Arabidopsis thaliana: one gene and its partner. The protein of the gene in region 2 interacts with the protein of the main gene of each other region in a pairwise test. Each region holds a gene or a part of one and is shown on either strand. Other genes may lie near its edges.

The links.
Region 1: the proteins of SGR5 (region 2) and AT3G24490 interact in a two-hybrid assay, tested with the Arabidopsis thaliana proteins (one large-scale study listed by BioGRID).

The regions. Positions count from the first base shown.
Region 1 is NC_003074.8:8,906,378-8,912,723, reverse strand, and holds AT3G24490 (Alcohol dehydrogenase transcription factor Myb/SANT-like family protein), read right to left. Parts: upstream 2,303-6,346; 5' UTR 1,703-2,302; coding exon 701-1,702; 3' UTR 501-700; downstream 1-500. Other genes in the region: MSH7 (MUTS homolog 7), read left to right, coding at 1-306.
Region 2 is NC_003071.7:428,585-438,202, reverse strand, and holds SGR5 (C2H2-like zinc finger protein), read right to left. Parts: upstream 5,929-9,618; 5' UTR 5,552-5,928; coding exon 5,392-5,551; intron 5,357-5,391; exon of another isoform or gene 5,192-5,356; intron 5,079-5,191; coding exon 4,692-5,078; coding exon of another isoform or gene 4,676-4,691; intron 4,080-4,675; coding exon 3,286-4,079; 3' UTR 3,126-3,285; downstream 1-3,125. UniProt on the Arabidopsis thaliana protein: Transcription factor involved in inflorescence stems gravitropism, probably by regulating starch accumulation in amyloplasts of graviperceptive cells. Required for stem circumnutation movements. Regulates lateral organ morphogenesis and gravitropic responses.

The DNA of each region.
Region 1 (6,346 bases), on a different chromosome or scaffold from region 2:
TACCGTTTAACCGAGGGAGCTTGTCCTGAGAGCTACGGACTTCAAGTGGCACTCATGGCTGGAATACCAAACCAAGTGGTTGAAACAGCATCAGGTGCTGCTCAAGCCATGAAGAGATCAATTGGGGAAAACTTCAAGTCAAGTGAGCTAAGATCTGAGTTCTCAAGTCTGCATGAAGACTGGCTCAAGTCATTGGTGGGTATTTCTCGAGTCGCCCACAACAATGCCCCCATTGGCGAAGATGACTACGACACTTTGTTTTGCTTATGGCATGAGATCAAATCCTCTTACTGTGTTCCCAAATAAATGGCTATGACATAACACTATCTGAAGCTCGTTAAGTCTTTTGCTTCTCTGATGTTTATTCCTCTTAAAAAATGCTTATATATCAAAAAATTGTTTCCTCGATTATAACAAGATTATATATGTATCTGTCGGTTTAGCTATGGTATATAATATATGTATGTTCATGAGATTGGTCAAGAGAAATACTCACAAACAGTATATTAAGAAGGAAATATGTTTATGCATTAATTTAAGTTTCAAGATAAACTGCAAATAACCTCGACTAAAGTTGCAAAGACCAAACACAAATTACAAAACTTATAAGACTTAAGTTCTGAATTCCCTAAAACCAAAAAAAAAAACAGAACATATTTTGTTGCATCTACAAACAACACAAACCTACATAGTTTATAACTTACTCATCACTGAGATTAACATCAGAATCATTCTCCATTTCTTCATCTTCACTCTCATCATCATCACCACCACCATGATGATTCTCCTCCTCTTCACGTAACCTAGCAATCTCACTCTGAGCTCTATCAACAATCTGCTTCTTCTGCAACTCCAAATCTCTCTGAAAATCAGCTCTCATCTTCTCCAACTCCTTCATTTGCTCTTTCTTACTCTTCTCCATCTTCTCATAAACCTTCCCAAACCTCTCAACAGAATCCGCCAACATCTTATACGAAGCAGCGTCATTAACCTTCTTCCTCTCGTACTCAACCTCATCATCCTCATCCTCCTCCTCTTCAGAATCACCAGGACTATCCATCATCTCATCAAACCCATTAGACTTATCTAAATAAACCTTAGTGTTCATAAACACAAACTCACCTGAATCAACACCACAAGCTAAACCTAAATCCGACTTGGGCGAAACACAAAGCAACATATCCAACTTATTGAAAAACGACCATTTACTTGAACCTAAACCTGATTTCTCAACCTTAATCTTCTCTTTTCTATACTTCCTCTTCAAGTCATCAATCATTCTCCTACATTGCGTCTCAGATTTCTCCATCCTTAGCTCCTCACTCACTTTCTCAGCTACTTCATTCCAATCCTCGTTCCTCAAACTCCTTCTACCCAATTGCAAAAACCTATCTCCCCAAACTTCAAGCAACACAAAAGCTTCTTGCTCTCTCCAATCATACGCAACTTTAGCATCACTAGGACCAGCAAATTCAAACCCAGAAACTACTTTGTTTGGTTTCTGTCTCTTCTGAAACCTCTCATTTCCACGAATGTATCCTCCTTGTGGATCTTCCTCTTCTCCTTCGACTTCATCTTCGTCTTCTTCTTCATTGTAATACGCGTGACGCTTAGGTATTGGTCTACTATACATTGGATGGTTTTGCCGATTCAAAGAGTAAAACTTTTTTGGGTATCCTGTTTCATCTTCGCTGTCACCCATCTTTGAGCAAAACCCAGAAAAGCAAAAGAAGAGAGAAGAAAGGCAGATCTAGGGTTTCAAATCGGACAGATAGAGATTTACCTGATTTTTGCACCTAATAGAGGAATATCTTGGAGGGTTTAGCTTTGAGAAGAGATAAGTAGAAGAAATTGATGAGGTTTATAAACCATGGCCGTGTCTAGGGTTAGGGATTTGCATTTTCAGCCGGGTCGGAGTAGAAGAAAAGCTACCACCACCGGTGAACATTGCCTCAGCCAGCGACGGAGTTTTGTCGCGGCGTTTGTTGGGACCATCCACTGGGTCATATTGGGCCAGTTTGGACAGCACTAATGGGCCAAGAGGACCACAATTATTTAATTTTAACCGATAGCCCAAGAGTTCCCAACTAAAACTAACGATCATTAAGAAAAGGAGAGTCTAAACTCTAACGAATATCAGCTTTGGTGTCGGTTAACTTATGACTTATGGGGTCAATTTCTGACATTTAGGGTCATAATATTTTGACCTTTAGCGTCATATTGGCTCAAAGGATTTGAAGCTGTCGATTTTTGGTGGGTTCGAAGATCTGCGAATGCAGTTACTGATCGACTAGCTAAAATGGGTGCCATTGAAACAATATGTTATTTTGATTCTCTGCTTTATATTCTTAAATATGCTACGTATGCTTTTAATTAATCTGAATAAGTTCAAAAATTAAAAAGGGCTAAGTTTTATTTTTCATATCACGGTGTTATTACTGAACTTGCAAGAGTTTAAGCTGCAAGAATATGAATTGCATAAGCATCTACTATGGGAGCCTCGGTTGTGGGAAATCTCCATGTGTCACATTATGATTCATACGTTTTTGAAAAATGTGAAAGTGTATCCCAACGATAATTCATTTAATACACTATGTAACGTATAATTTTTTAAATTATTAATGATGAAATCTTGTTTGAAGATGATAGTATTAAATTAAGTGGACTAAAATAGAGAAATGCCAGAACTCTTTATTTAATAATTGTTTGTTTCTGTGTTTTAATATAAATAAATGAATGTTATGCTTATTGCCAATGAAAATGTCGACCACGCTTCAATGTTGGTGAGTAATTATTATGCATCAAAAAGGAAGTAAGTATAACCTTAATGGAAATGATCATGGTAGTGATAAGGATCATAAATAATCGCAACGAATTTTGTTGCATCAATGCATCATACTATTGAATAACTAACACTAGTCTCGTACAATTTGATTTTAGGTGTTTAAATCTCGTTAGTGTAAATATAACGAGATAAACATTTACAATACAAAAAAAAAATTGAATTGTGTGACCTTGTAAGAACAGATTTTCGAAAAAAATTAAGAGTTGAGTCATTGATATGAAGAAGCTTCCAAGACAATGATATATGAATTGGTTAGAAACAAGAATTAATATTAATCATAACTCTTAAGTAACTCGGTCATTCCCACATTGACATAAGTAAAAAATAAATTTTAAAAGATTTGATACTTGAGTTTGGTATTCCTGCTAAGTAAAAAAAGAAGAAAAAGATTTGATACTTGAGTTGAGTTGGCATTGTGGACTTTAATTTCGTTTGAATCTCATTAACATGTTAGGCTTAATTATAATTAAACCTAGACGATTGACCTGTTTTGTGGGTAGATGTACCAATATATTTCAATGATTATAAAGGTTTAGTTTTGATCTCTAAATTTTCAATTTTTTTTAACAGTTTCATTTATAAAAAAAATTAATACAATTTTTTTATAAGAAAAACAGTATAGTTTAAAACAAGCTTTAAAAATTTCAAGTCTCAAATCAAATAAATAGAGATTGTTTTTTATGAGACAGTAAACACTACAACATCAACTTTCTTATAAAATATAACAAATTGTTTTACAAAATTCAGTAGGTAGAGTCAGACAGGTATGTATTCGTATAATTTTAACTTTTCAGATTTTTTTCATTAATGTAACTCATAAAACGTTTAAATAGATTAAACAGTGACATCTCATAATTACCTAATACTGATAAAGCAACAAACAATTTTAAGGTAATAATATAGTATTTTTATAAAACGGTTGAGCTAAATATTTGAGATACATACTCATTGTTCTTTAGTATCCAGTACTACTATTTACACAATCAACAAGAACAACAAAATTGTGATATATATTACAGTTCCTCCACATGAAAATAATAAAGTGAAGTAACGGTCCTAGGCTCCTAAACGGATATCTTGGGAGAGAGATGTGAACAAACTTGAAAATTCGTATGAAAGATTTTTGATAAGCCAATCATATTACATGTCACAAGATATCGATGAAGTGAAAATAAAAATGAAATTAGTATTTTATGGTTGGAAGGTCGCGTCGAGAACATAAGTGTAACGGAGAGAGAGAGTCAATGAGTGATCATAAAACCGTTACGAAGTTTCTCAAGTCTTTGACAACAATCTCTTTCAAACGCGTTATGAGTGGTTACGTTCGCTCACTCCAATGCCAACTATGTTGCTTTCACCAATTTTTTGTCTTTTGTCTTTACTTTGAGGCTTTGAGCATTTATTTCTTAATCTTTTATTTATTTTTATTTATTGATTTGACAAATATATAGTCCAAAAGTATCTTCGGTGATTTTTTTGGTAAGGGGATTCCTACGAAAGCAGGATGCTCTATTGCCAATAATATATATAGTTTAGTTAATTAATGAGGAAGTTTTTGGTCTAGTGTTAAAGATAAAATGTTTGCCAAAAAGTTGTAAAGCACTTTGATTTACATGAGATTCCAAATAGAAAAGACTTATTGGATGGAGAAGAAAAGAGAAATTGGTTATAAAGGATTTGATATTTAACCAAAATAAAAATTAAAAAACAAATTTGATGGGACACTGACTTGGTCTCTTGGTTAGAAGAAAAGAGATTTTGGATGGTCTGGTTGCTAGTAGATGATCTCAACCATAGTGGTCTGCTTCACCTCACTGGTCAAATGTTCATCTAAGCACTAAGATTTTGTATTTCTCTACGCAAGAACTTTTATTCTGTGTGAGCTTCCAGATTCATTAGTACTGGAAGGTAAAAGTAACTCTGATACATACTCAACTAGAGAATGAAGTTCACATATCTATAGAAGGATAGAAAATACAACTAATAGCAAATGATCATATACTCTAAGAAATAATTTCTTACCTCATAAGAAGATATGACAACCTTGTCATCTTCACAATTGCATGATATTTTCATAGTACATAATGTTACATACAATTATCAAAAATAGACTATAGAGTCTTTATTTTTTAAAAAAATCGCCAAATTTATAAAATTGTATGATTAGTTGGTGAAAAAAACAGAGATGGCTAGAGTGTATGAGAAACATAATGAAATGAATAATGAATTAACAAGTAACACTTGATGCACACACAAAAAAAAGAAAAAAAATCAAGGAACACTATTTTTTTGTCAATCATAATGCATTACAAATATAGAAAAGGTTTGTGGTGTATCATCCATTACAAGAACCCGATAATCCTAGAGATACAATAGCGTTATAGTAAATGTACATGAATATTTTGCTAATTGATCCGTCATTTACCATCGAATCTTCTAGGGTTTTTGAATTCTTGTGCATGGTTCTCATGAATCACATCTAGTCTATTAAGGAACATTATCTTCCTTATAATTACATTAACAAGACTAAGCATATAATAACAAAATACTTAATTTTATTTTATTCATTTTCTTTAAATTGAAAATGGCAGAAATAAAGATGTTGCATTGTTGGCTCAACAAGAGAAACTCGATAACCTATATTCAAATGTACAAATTATGTTTAAATAGTAATTAAAAGCATTTGGGTTCTTAAGATAATGAATGAATGTTCACACAGTATTTAGCGCACAATCAAGTGGACAAAAGACGTTGAAGACTTCATGGGAAACTTACCATGCGACCTACCTAGTTATTATAACTTCTTTCACTTGGCCTCCTCATATAGACGAAGCCGGTAACAGATGAAAATGTTGATCACCTCGTTCTATTATTTAAATCAAAAATTCATGACAAAATTTAACCGCATAGCATTGTTGATTTAACAAGAGAAGTGATAACCTAGATTCAAATGTATAATTTAGGTTTTAAGAGTAATTAGAAGCACTTGGTTTTTAAGAAAGTGAATGTTTGAGTATTAAAAATAGCAGTTGGTTTAAAATTTAAAAAGAATAAAACAGTACCAATCGTTAGATCATTATAGTTTTACTAGCATATTAAGAAGTGTTGCGAGATTTGTGATGAGAAAAATAGTGGTTACTTTCATATAAGCTCAGGTGAGAAATCTATATGTTTCTCCACGGAAAAGAATACTATGCATATTATGCATAATTTCCAAATTTATATACAATACGTACAAATCTAATAAAATAATCAAAAATATGTATATGTTTGCATGGTTCACTCTAGATCCTCCATACTAAGCTCCTTCATCAATCATCAACGGCTGATTTTTAGTGCAACACTTTCACCTTTTTCAATATTTTACACTGTAACAAGATCTGAATACTTGTATAATTCCTTCATATGGAGACACGATCTCGTGAATTAGTGAAGTTTGCATTATTTATGGGACCTTTTGGCCCACAAGAAAAAGTGTCAGGATACAAAACTTGTGTGTAT
Region 2 (9,618 bases):
AAAGGAAAATGCCAAATTTTGATTTACTAAGAGCTAATATAAGAACAAAACTGAAAAAGACAAAATAATAAAATGCTTCAAGTTTCAGTGCAAAACACAGATATAGCAAAAGGGTCCATCCATATAATAGAGGGAGATTTAATATTTTATCTTACACATATTTAAGCAAATAAAGACAAACCTCAGCTGATATTCATCAATAATAATTAAATAAAGTATAGAAGCCAGCAAATACACAACGTTTATGTTATATGTGCATAGTTTTTGAAATTTATTTGTAATTAAAACAAATATTTGTTGAACAAAATTGATATAAAACGTTCAATTCTAATTCGGAAATAAAACAATAATACAGAAAAAAATCTTGATTTAATAAGAGATTGTATATAAGATGAAGCTAAGCAAAACGAAAATGTTTGGATCTCTTTATAAAAAAATAAAAAAATAATCAATATAGAATATGGTAGTAGTAAACAAATCAGAGAAGACGGAAATACCCATTGAGTAAAGGGTGTCGACTCATACATCCCATCAAAGAAGTGAGGGGTATTTTTGTCATGACATAGAAGTTAAGCATATGGTTGTTCCTTTGTGGGAAGTATGAGGCAATCGCATGTGATGAGAGATTTTCATGCTAAGCCAATTCCAAATCCAACAACTAAGTACATTATTATTAAATATTGTTTCTTTTTCAATATTGTTGACAAACAAAGATCTCTGGCTTAAAAATGATTTTTTTTTCCATGAAACTTCTAATTGATAATGTAGTTACTTTATTTAGATGAAAAAGGTTTGTTTTTGTAGTGAATTCTTTGGTATTTTTGATCATATAACACATGCAAATAAATAAGATAAGAGAAGAAGGAACAATTCATTTGGGTTGAGAAAGGCATGAGCATTTGAAAGTTTGGGGGAAGAGAAGCAAGTATGCACATGCTCTTCTTAAAAAAAATGCTAAGAGATAAAAAGCTAAAACCTTTTTTTGTGTTGCACGTTCCATTGTTCTTCCTTTTCTATATTTTAATTCGTTACAACTCCCTAACCTAACTATGTATTATAGATGATCCGAGCCATATAATTATTAATCTATTTCTTTTGGTTTGAAGCAATTACAATTGATAATCTCAAAGTACGCTAATTGCATGCATATAGCGACATAACGAATCGTTTTTATACATTATAACATTATTACATGAATTCCATCATTTTATGTACACATGGTTAGACATTATTACGTACATTGTTTTACGTTCACGAGTTTGTGACATAAACCATCATCAAACATATTCTACATGCATTATATTACACACACATGTGTTTGGCCATTGGTATAGAGAAAGCCTAATATGCTATCTCTTTCTCTCTCTCTCCACCTCTCTTTATGTGACAAACATAGCTGCAGAATCTGCAAACCTCTCTGCGTGTTAGCACAAATGATGAAAACGAGAGAGAGAGATAAATAGTCACTTTCAATGCAATTGAGTGCACATTAAATGCGACGGGAAAAAAACGTCATCGTTTTCAGTGCCATAGAGTTGAAACGGAGTAACGGGCAGGCATTTGTCACTCTCTTATTTACTTAACCCACTTCTTTAGTTCTCTCAGACAGACATTCATGTCATTTCTTCAAGTCCTCGTTATTAAAGTCTTTATATCCTCCTAATTTCTGCATCGAAATTGGTCCCAAAAGATGTACAAAAACCAAACCCACCTCGGATTTTAGATTTTTGTAGTGTATAGCTTCTTCAATCTCATACGCAAAAGATCGTCTTATTTTTGTTATTTTATATTTTCTTTGCTATATATGCGTATATGTATGTATCTATATACTTGCCCCAATCAAACTCTTTCTCTTTCATGTATCGACATTCATTTATTATGTATGTTCACACATCATAGACCTGTCCAATCTAAAAATATTTGGGTTTTTTTTTATAAGAAAAAAATTCATCTAAAAAATGTTTGGCTAGAAACATGAATAATCACCATTATGTATTAATTAAGAAATCTCAAATGGGTATATTATATGAATCATGTGGCTTAAACATGTATTATCTTTGTATGACTTGCACACCAAATTTTATTTATCACCACAAAGTTTTCAGATGGAGTTATCTTCTTAACGCAGTGTAGTCTTGGGTTTCAAATTTTATACTAAACACACATGAATAATGCACAACAATTTGATGAGTGGCTATTTATTTATCTCTCATGAATATTAGGTGTTTTTAACTATCTATTTTTAAGGTCAACTAGACTAAATACTTAATTACTTAGAATCCAACGACCAGTTCTATATAAAATTTGATATGGACTACTCTGAGTATTGGTCATATGTGTGAACAGTAGAATTATTTGACATGCATTTTCTTGTAAAATTTTACTTAAAATAAAATCAGAAGTCTCTGTAAAAATTTATTTCGAGACAATAAATGAGTAGCTAGAAAATTTGCTAAAAGTTGTAATAACAACAAGTGAAAATGGGTCGGGCTGTTTTATCATCATTATAGATCAACACTTTTTGTCCGAATCTAACGAAAGATGAAACGATGTTTGTTTATGAACCTCGTTATAAGTGTAACGGTCACGGACCAAAACGACATCATAATAGTACATTTCCCATCACTCCATATATCAACTCGTGCCAAGCAACTACTTACCCTCTTTCAAACTTACTAAATATACTGGTATACATTAGATGTCGATAATCTCTATCATGCAGGGACTGTTTTGATCCTTAAAACGTGAGATTTGTTTTCAAATATATCACCTCAAGCTTACCAAAAATAATGTAGACAAATCAAGGATAAGCAAATGTATATTTAACCGAATTCAAATCCGCATATCACATGTTTTATTAAAAAAATTGTATATCCATTGAAAGTTCTAAGCGAATCTAAGGCCAAAGATCAAAACACGCATGTACGGATCTCCACTCTTAACTCCTTCTAAACTACTGTAGACGTTCAAGACGAAAAAATATCTATATAAAAATTTAAATAGTTAATTTCAAGGTTTTTTTTTTGTTGATAAAATTTAATTTTAAGGTTCTATATGAAACCTAGGATAAAATCATTTTTCAACAATTTAAAGTGTAATGTGGCGGAAATGACAGTAACATAGTTACAAAACATAGTCTAATATTGTTGGACCAAAGAAACAACTATATAACAACCATTACATAATATATGGTAGTTGAAAAAATTAACACAACCGGTAATTAATACACAAAAGTATAATAAAGTTAACCTCAATTTAAATATCTTATGTTTTCTTCGGTTTTACTTAAAAACCATTTTCCAACTCTCCGTCAGTATTCGCTGACGACATGTAACTCACGACAAGAGACGTCTCATCAGCCGTAGCCGCCGGAACCGCAACTGCTTGAAACTGTCCTTTACATGTTTGACAAGTGACCTGCATGATCGTTGAACTTATCTTCTTCATAGATTGTTCCTTTAAAAACTTAGCTCTCTCGAGTTCAGCTTGTGCTTTTTGCCTAATCTTTTTGGCATTTGCAAACTCGTTTTCCGCTATCTCTCGTTGCCTCTTGGCTTCTCTTTTAGCTTCCTCAGCGTAAGCTTTCTCCTTCATCGCTATCTTCATAATTTGCTCGCTCGCCATAATCTCTTTTATACGATCAAAGTTGTTGTAATGTTGATATGATGATGATGGTGCAATGGAGAGGTTTAAGTTTGTGGTATCATGATTATGATTATGATGATGAGATGGTTCTTTAACTTTTTGTTGTTGGTTTTCTTGATTAGGGTTTTGATTCGACGATAATGGAAGAAGTTGGAGTTCGAGGTTGAGATTGTTTGATGAGTTGGTGAGAATTGAAGATGAGATTCTCTGATGAATTGGACGGCCTTCTAGAGGTTGAGGAGTCGTAACCGCAACTGTACCGCCGTAATTGGTTTCACTAGACGGAGTGCTGACGGTTGAGGCGGTTCTAGAAGAGCATGCCGGGACTGTTACCGCGGTTTGTGGTGGTCGAGGCGGTTCACGGTGAACTCTCCGTGCGGAACAATTATCTTGATGTTCAATAAAACTCTCCACCCTAAAAGAAGAAAAGAAACCTATCAATTACATAATTTATATGACGTAGGATTATGAAAATGTGACAAAGTTAATAATTTTATATTAAGTTTTTCTGTTTAAACGTCGTTTATTAAATACCTTTGAACTCAAAAATATATATTATTAATATGAGTTTAGGTCCAATTATAACCTTTGTGTCGAAAAAAGGTCCAATAATAACCTAAATACATAAAATATTTCTTTAGAGATTGGGGTCAATGTCATTAATCTAAGTGCTTAACTTTCTTTTTATGTCACAAAAACCAAACAAATAGTCAAGAGATATATTAAAAAACTCTGATGCATACACATCAATACACAGAATTAGTAAAAATCATGAAGGATAGTCAAATCAAATAGTACTATAACTATCAATCTTAGTCTTTGGTCCCTAGAAGAATTTTCTATATTTGTCTTTCTATATGATCTCCTAAATATACAAAACAAACAGAGTCAAATTACTTGTATATTTTAGAAATACTTAACAAATCCTTCCAAAAGTTTGCATATCTTTTCAGAATTAATAATACCAATAATTAATTTATAAAATGGGTCAAAAAAAAATCAAATGATAGAGAGGAACAAGAAATTATACCTGGAGAAGACACGACCACAGTCACAAGAATGTCCTCTAGTACCACAAGTTTTGAGATGAGCTTTGTAATCAGATTGAACAGCATAACCTTTAGAGCATCTCTCACAAACCCATTGCTTATGGTTACTATGTTTTCTTCTGAAATGTTTTTTGATGCCGACAAGATCTCCCAGAGCATGACAAGGATTATGGTGAAGGCAAGTGGGTTCAGGGCAAACATAGACTCGTTTCTTCACCTCTATGTTGTTGTCTCTTTTAAGAAGCTTCCATGGAACTTTGTGACGTCTTCTATGCATCTGGAGATTCTGGTCTCTTTGAAACCCTTGGTTACAGATCTCACATATGTATCTGTCTGATTCAAGAAGAGTTCTTGGTGATAAAGACACAACTTCTGCATCTGGATCTGAAAAGGAGATAAGGCAAAACCCATCAAAACACATGTCTTAGTTGATTAATAAAGTTGAGATTTTAAATGAGGTTTAAGAATTAAAAACAATGAAAACCCATTAATTGTACCTATAACTTTGAAACTGGCAATAAGAAAAAGAGAAATTTTAAAACTAAACCTATAATAAACCTGTATTTCTAATGGGGTTTAAGAGAAAAAAAAAACAAAAAACAATAGTACCCATGAGTTGAAAATTTTCATAAGAAAATAAAAACAAGAAAAAAAGATTTTGAAAAATAAATTTTCTGTAGTGGGGATTTATTATTACCTGGGGTACCTGCAGGTCTTCTTTTCCTCTTCTGAGTGGATGTGTTTGTGGTGGTGACCCCATTTTCTGAAGAGGAGAGGAAAGGATCAGAAGAAGAAGAAGAAACCACACAACATGTGTTTGTGTTCTTGTTGGACAACATCACTTGATCTGTTCTCATCAATTACTCTACTTTTCTTGATCTTTCTTTTTGACTTTATTGTATTTGGATTCTAGAGATTGATTTGATGAAAGAACAAGGCCCAAAGACCAAAAAAAAAAAAAAATGAAAGAAGAAGAGATAGTGGGAGATTCAGCTTTACAAAGAAGAGGAAGGGTGATAAAGAGAGATATAGGGGGAGAGAAAAAGTTCTTTTAAGCTTTCTGCAACAAAGGCTTTTCAAAACTTTTTCTTAGGCTCTTCAAAGTTTCTCTTATGTTAATATGATGAAAGCTTTTTAATTTTCTTGAGTCTCTCTCTCTCTAGCTCTCTCTTTGGGTATATATTTTGACTCTTCTTCAAAAACCTATTTCTCTCTCATACACTTGAGAGTTGAGAGCAAATAAGGGGTCTTTGATGTCTATATTGCTTCTACTTATAAAGCTCATTGCACTATGCCATCATTGCGTAAAATGTATACATACACTCGTGTAGCTAGAGAGAGAGAGAGAGAAGGTGGTGTATTTATTTAGATTTAGATGTAGATTTTAGATTTTTCTTTTTGTTATTTTGTATTTATTTTTTAGACTTTGTTTCTTTGAGCATGTTGGATATATGAATTTTTTGGCTTGGACCCATATCTTGTCTGATTGATGAATTTGTCTGATTTTCTTGAACCTTCACAAACTATTTTTTTTTTTTTTTTTGAAACATTTTATTTTATGTTTGAGATTATCTACATGAGTTTCTTCTAACAAATGAAAAAAAAAAATATATGAGATCATACGTCCACATGTAAGGCTTGCCTTTCATCAAAATATTATGCAGGTTAGAGGCTTAAAATAGCAATAGTTGTATTGTATCTGCAAATTAGGAGAGAATTTATGAATATCGATACGGTGCTAACTCTTAGATGATGTAAGAAGCAATTAAATAATAAGGTTAAGATACTTCATTACTTCTAATTAACTTTTTGACTGTCACTCTCAAGTCCTATAAATAGTGTGATTATACATCACTAATACATCTTGCGTTTCATTATTGTTAAAGCAATCCAATAATATATAGACAATTTAAGAAAAATTGTCATTGTTAACTATATATGAATGTTATGTCATCATGTTTCCAACGTTGGTCCACATACATGTTAAGATTCTTTTCGAATTACACTTGGAAACAAGGAGAGAAAAAAAAAGGTATATGGTTCTTGTGAATAATCCAAGGATAAAAATGCATTATTGCATTAAATACCAAATTCTGTAAGTTTACAATAATGCAGACAAACTATTATTTTTTCTTTCTATTTGGCTTATATAATGGATGTACTAGTGCCCATACATAGTTAGGGGAAGAAAAAAGACAAATATATCAAATTATACATGCGTATAAAAATAATTCAAACCAAGAGTAAATGTGAAAGTAGTATTAGTATGTTTTTATAAAACCCTATTTTAGTAAAATTCATATTCGATCCCTCGCGCACGTGACCTTATGTCTTACTCACGTGACCTCTTTTTCCCTCCACTCTCCACTGTCGATTCCTTTTAGGCTATTGCCTTTCTTCTCAGTCATTCCTTAAGAAGGTTCATTAACAGATCTAAGAATGTTACTGGATCAAGAATGAAATGAATCTTATATGAAAACATTTTTTTTTTTTTGATGGAACTCATATGTAGACTACCAAAATTAATCATTATTATGGTTTAAATTTTCTCAATCATAAGTTTTGTTACTTTAACACATTTTCTCTGTTTCAATTATGGTTTAAATTTTCTCAATCATAAGTTTTGTTACTTTAACACATTTTCTCTGTTTCAATTGTAAATGCCATATGTATTCCTTCCTTAGCTTGATCGCTATTCGCTACTAGTTGTTTTTATTTTTGTTATTGCCGAATAATAAATTAATTTGCAGATAAAAGAAACAAAAGATACCTCATAATGTTTTTTGTCAGTTGTCAAAAATTGGTTCTAAATGGACCGAAAGGAAAAACAGAACAAATTAGACGAGAAGATGTGATCGAGTTACTACGGTGACAGCTTTGTATAAAGGAAAGAAATGAGATCGTGTTTGTAATCATTTCCTAAGATGAGATTACTCTCCCATCTCTTACTTAACCCTTTGCTTATCGATTATTACCACTGATTAGATCTTTTCTAGCTGATACATAATGCATGATATTTATTTCGGAGCTACAAAATTATAAATTTGTAGTTTCTAATCGTTATATATGGACTTGAGAGACCACAACATCTTAAATGAATGCAAAAATTCAAAAAGAAACAAAAACATGTTAAATGAAATACAATAGTCTGATTTTTAATAGTCAAAAATAAATCGACAATGGCCTAGTGGTTGATCCAAGGTTAAAAGTTATACATAAAAGTTGAAATCTAAGTTTAATGTATAAAAATATTGAGCTCTTTAGACCTAGTTTTTGGACATTCAGGTATATTTACCTAGGATATATCTCACAAATATTAACTATATAATCAAGATAAATTCGAATAACAATGGTAAACTATTAGAAGTTAATTCAAGAGAATGAATAAAATAATATAAGTAGGAGATTTGAGTTGGAAAGAAGGATCAAGTCACATGCTCCAAATTTACAAAGCAAAGAAATGCCATCATCTCCCCCAACTCCTCCCTTTGATTCTCTCTTTATCTTTTCTTTTTATCTTCAATTATTAATGTTTTTAATAATAAAAAACCATATATATAAACATAAAATTAGTTATTTATCTGAAAAGAACATTCTCAATACATCATTACTCATTTTATTCGGATATTTTGGTCTCATGCCTTCATTCTCAAGTTTCGCATACATCCATAAACTCTATAAAATGTTGCCAAGAAAATAAACACAATGTGTATAATTGTACTCAATCTTTCAAATCGAATTAAGATAAAATACAACTTCAGTCAACAAAATTTTTTTAGTCAAAATGTACGTGTGTAATTATAATGTTGGCTACTCAATTTAAAATCAAATTAAGTTGGTGAAACAAAAAAAAAGTGGTTATGGGCCGAAATGATTACCGGCCTTGAATATGAGTCCACTGGACGTAATTTTGATATTAAGTATTTGGGTCTCTTATCTCTTAAATGAGTCGCATATGGGCCAGTTGTTGAGCATTATCCATGGAAATCAAAAAGTTGCATGGAAACAGAGACTTTAACAAAAAAAAGCTTCTTCCGGAGATTCATACACATAAATCTCTATCTTCATATCTAGTGTGAATCCAGCTATTGGAAATCTTTGGATGTTTGATCAAGTGTTGAATTTCTCTGTTTGGATGTTGTACATCTTCTTAATTAGTTACATGCTTAATCTTCTTCTTGTTTTTTTTTTTTTGAATACCAGAACATTCTGAACCAAAGCCGTAATTTCCGAAGACCCAAAAGTACAACATGTAACGCGACCTCTAAGCTTTGCCTAGAATATTTACCAATTAAAATAATAATATTTGGTTAATCTTCGTCTTGTTAGCTCATACGTCAGACAATGAAAACAAAAGGTAATTGATGTTTTCATTACTTGAGGATTAGATATTGGTCAAGCTTAGTTGTGGCTATGGGTTAAAGACTAAGATCTCATTAGTAAAAGTGGTATTGAGCTTGCCTTCTCAATGCTATGACAAATACTGTATATTTTATCAATAGTACAATGTAAAGGATAAGGAGAAGAAGTGGGCTTTGATTTTGTTTTTGTCTTCTTCTTCTTCTTCCCCCAAATCTCTTTACCCTACAAATAACCAAAAATAATCTCTTCACCAAAAATATTATATTAAAGTGTCATTTTTAGGATTTTCTAAGAAGAAAAAAAAAACAGGGAAGATCTTTTTAAGCTTCTCTTTCCTCTCTCTTCTATCTTTCTTTCTCTTTCTCAATCTCTCTCAGGTTTCTCTCTCCTCTCTCCAGGAGGTCAAAAAATTCTTTAAAGAGCCGTTTAGACCAAACCCATGTAAGAGATTTCTCTCTCATCAATCTATGTCTCTTTCTCTCTCTTTCGAAAATTATCATTTGCGTCCTCTTTTTGTACTGTTTACTTTGTCTTTCCCATTTCTAGCGATCTTCTCATCGAA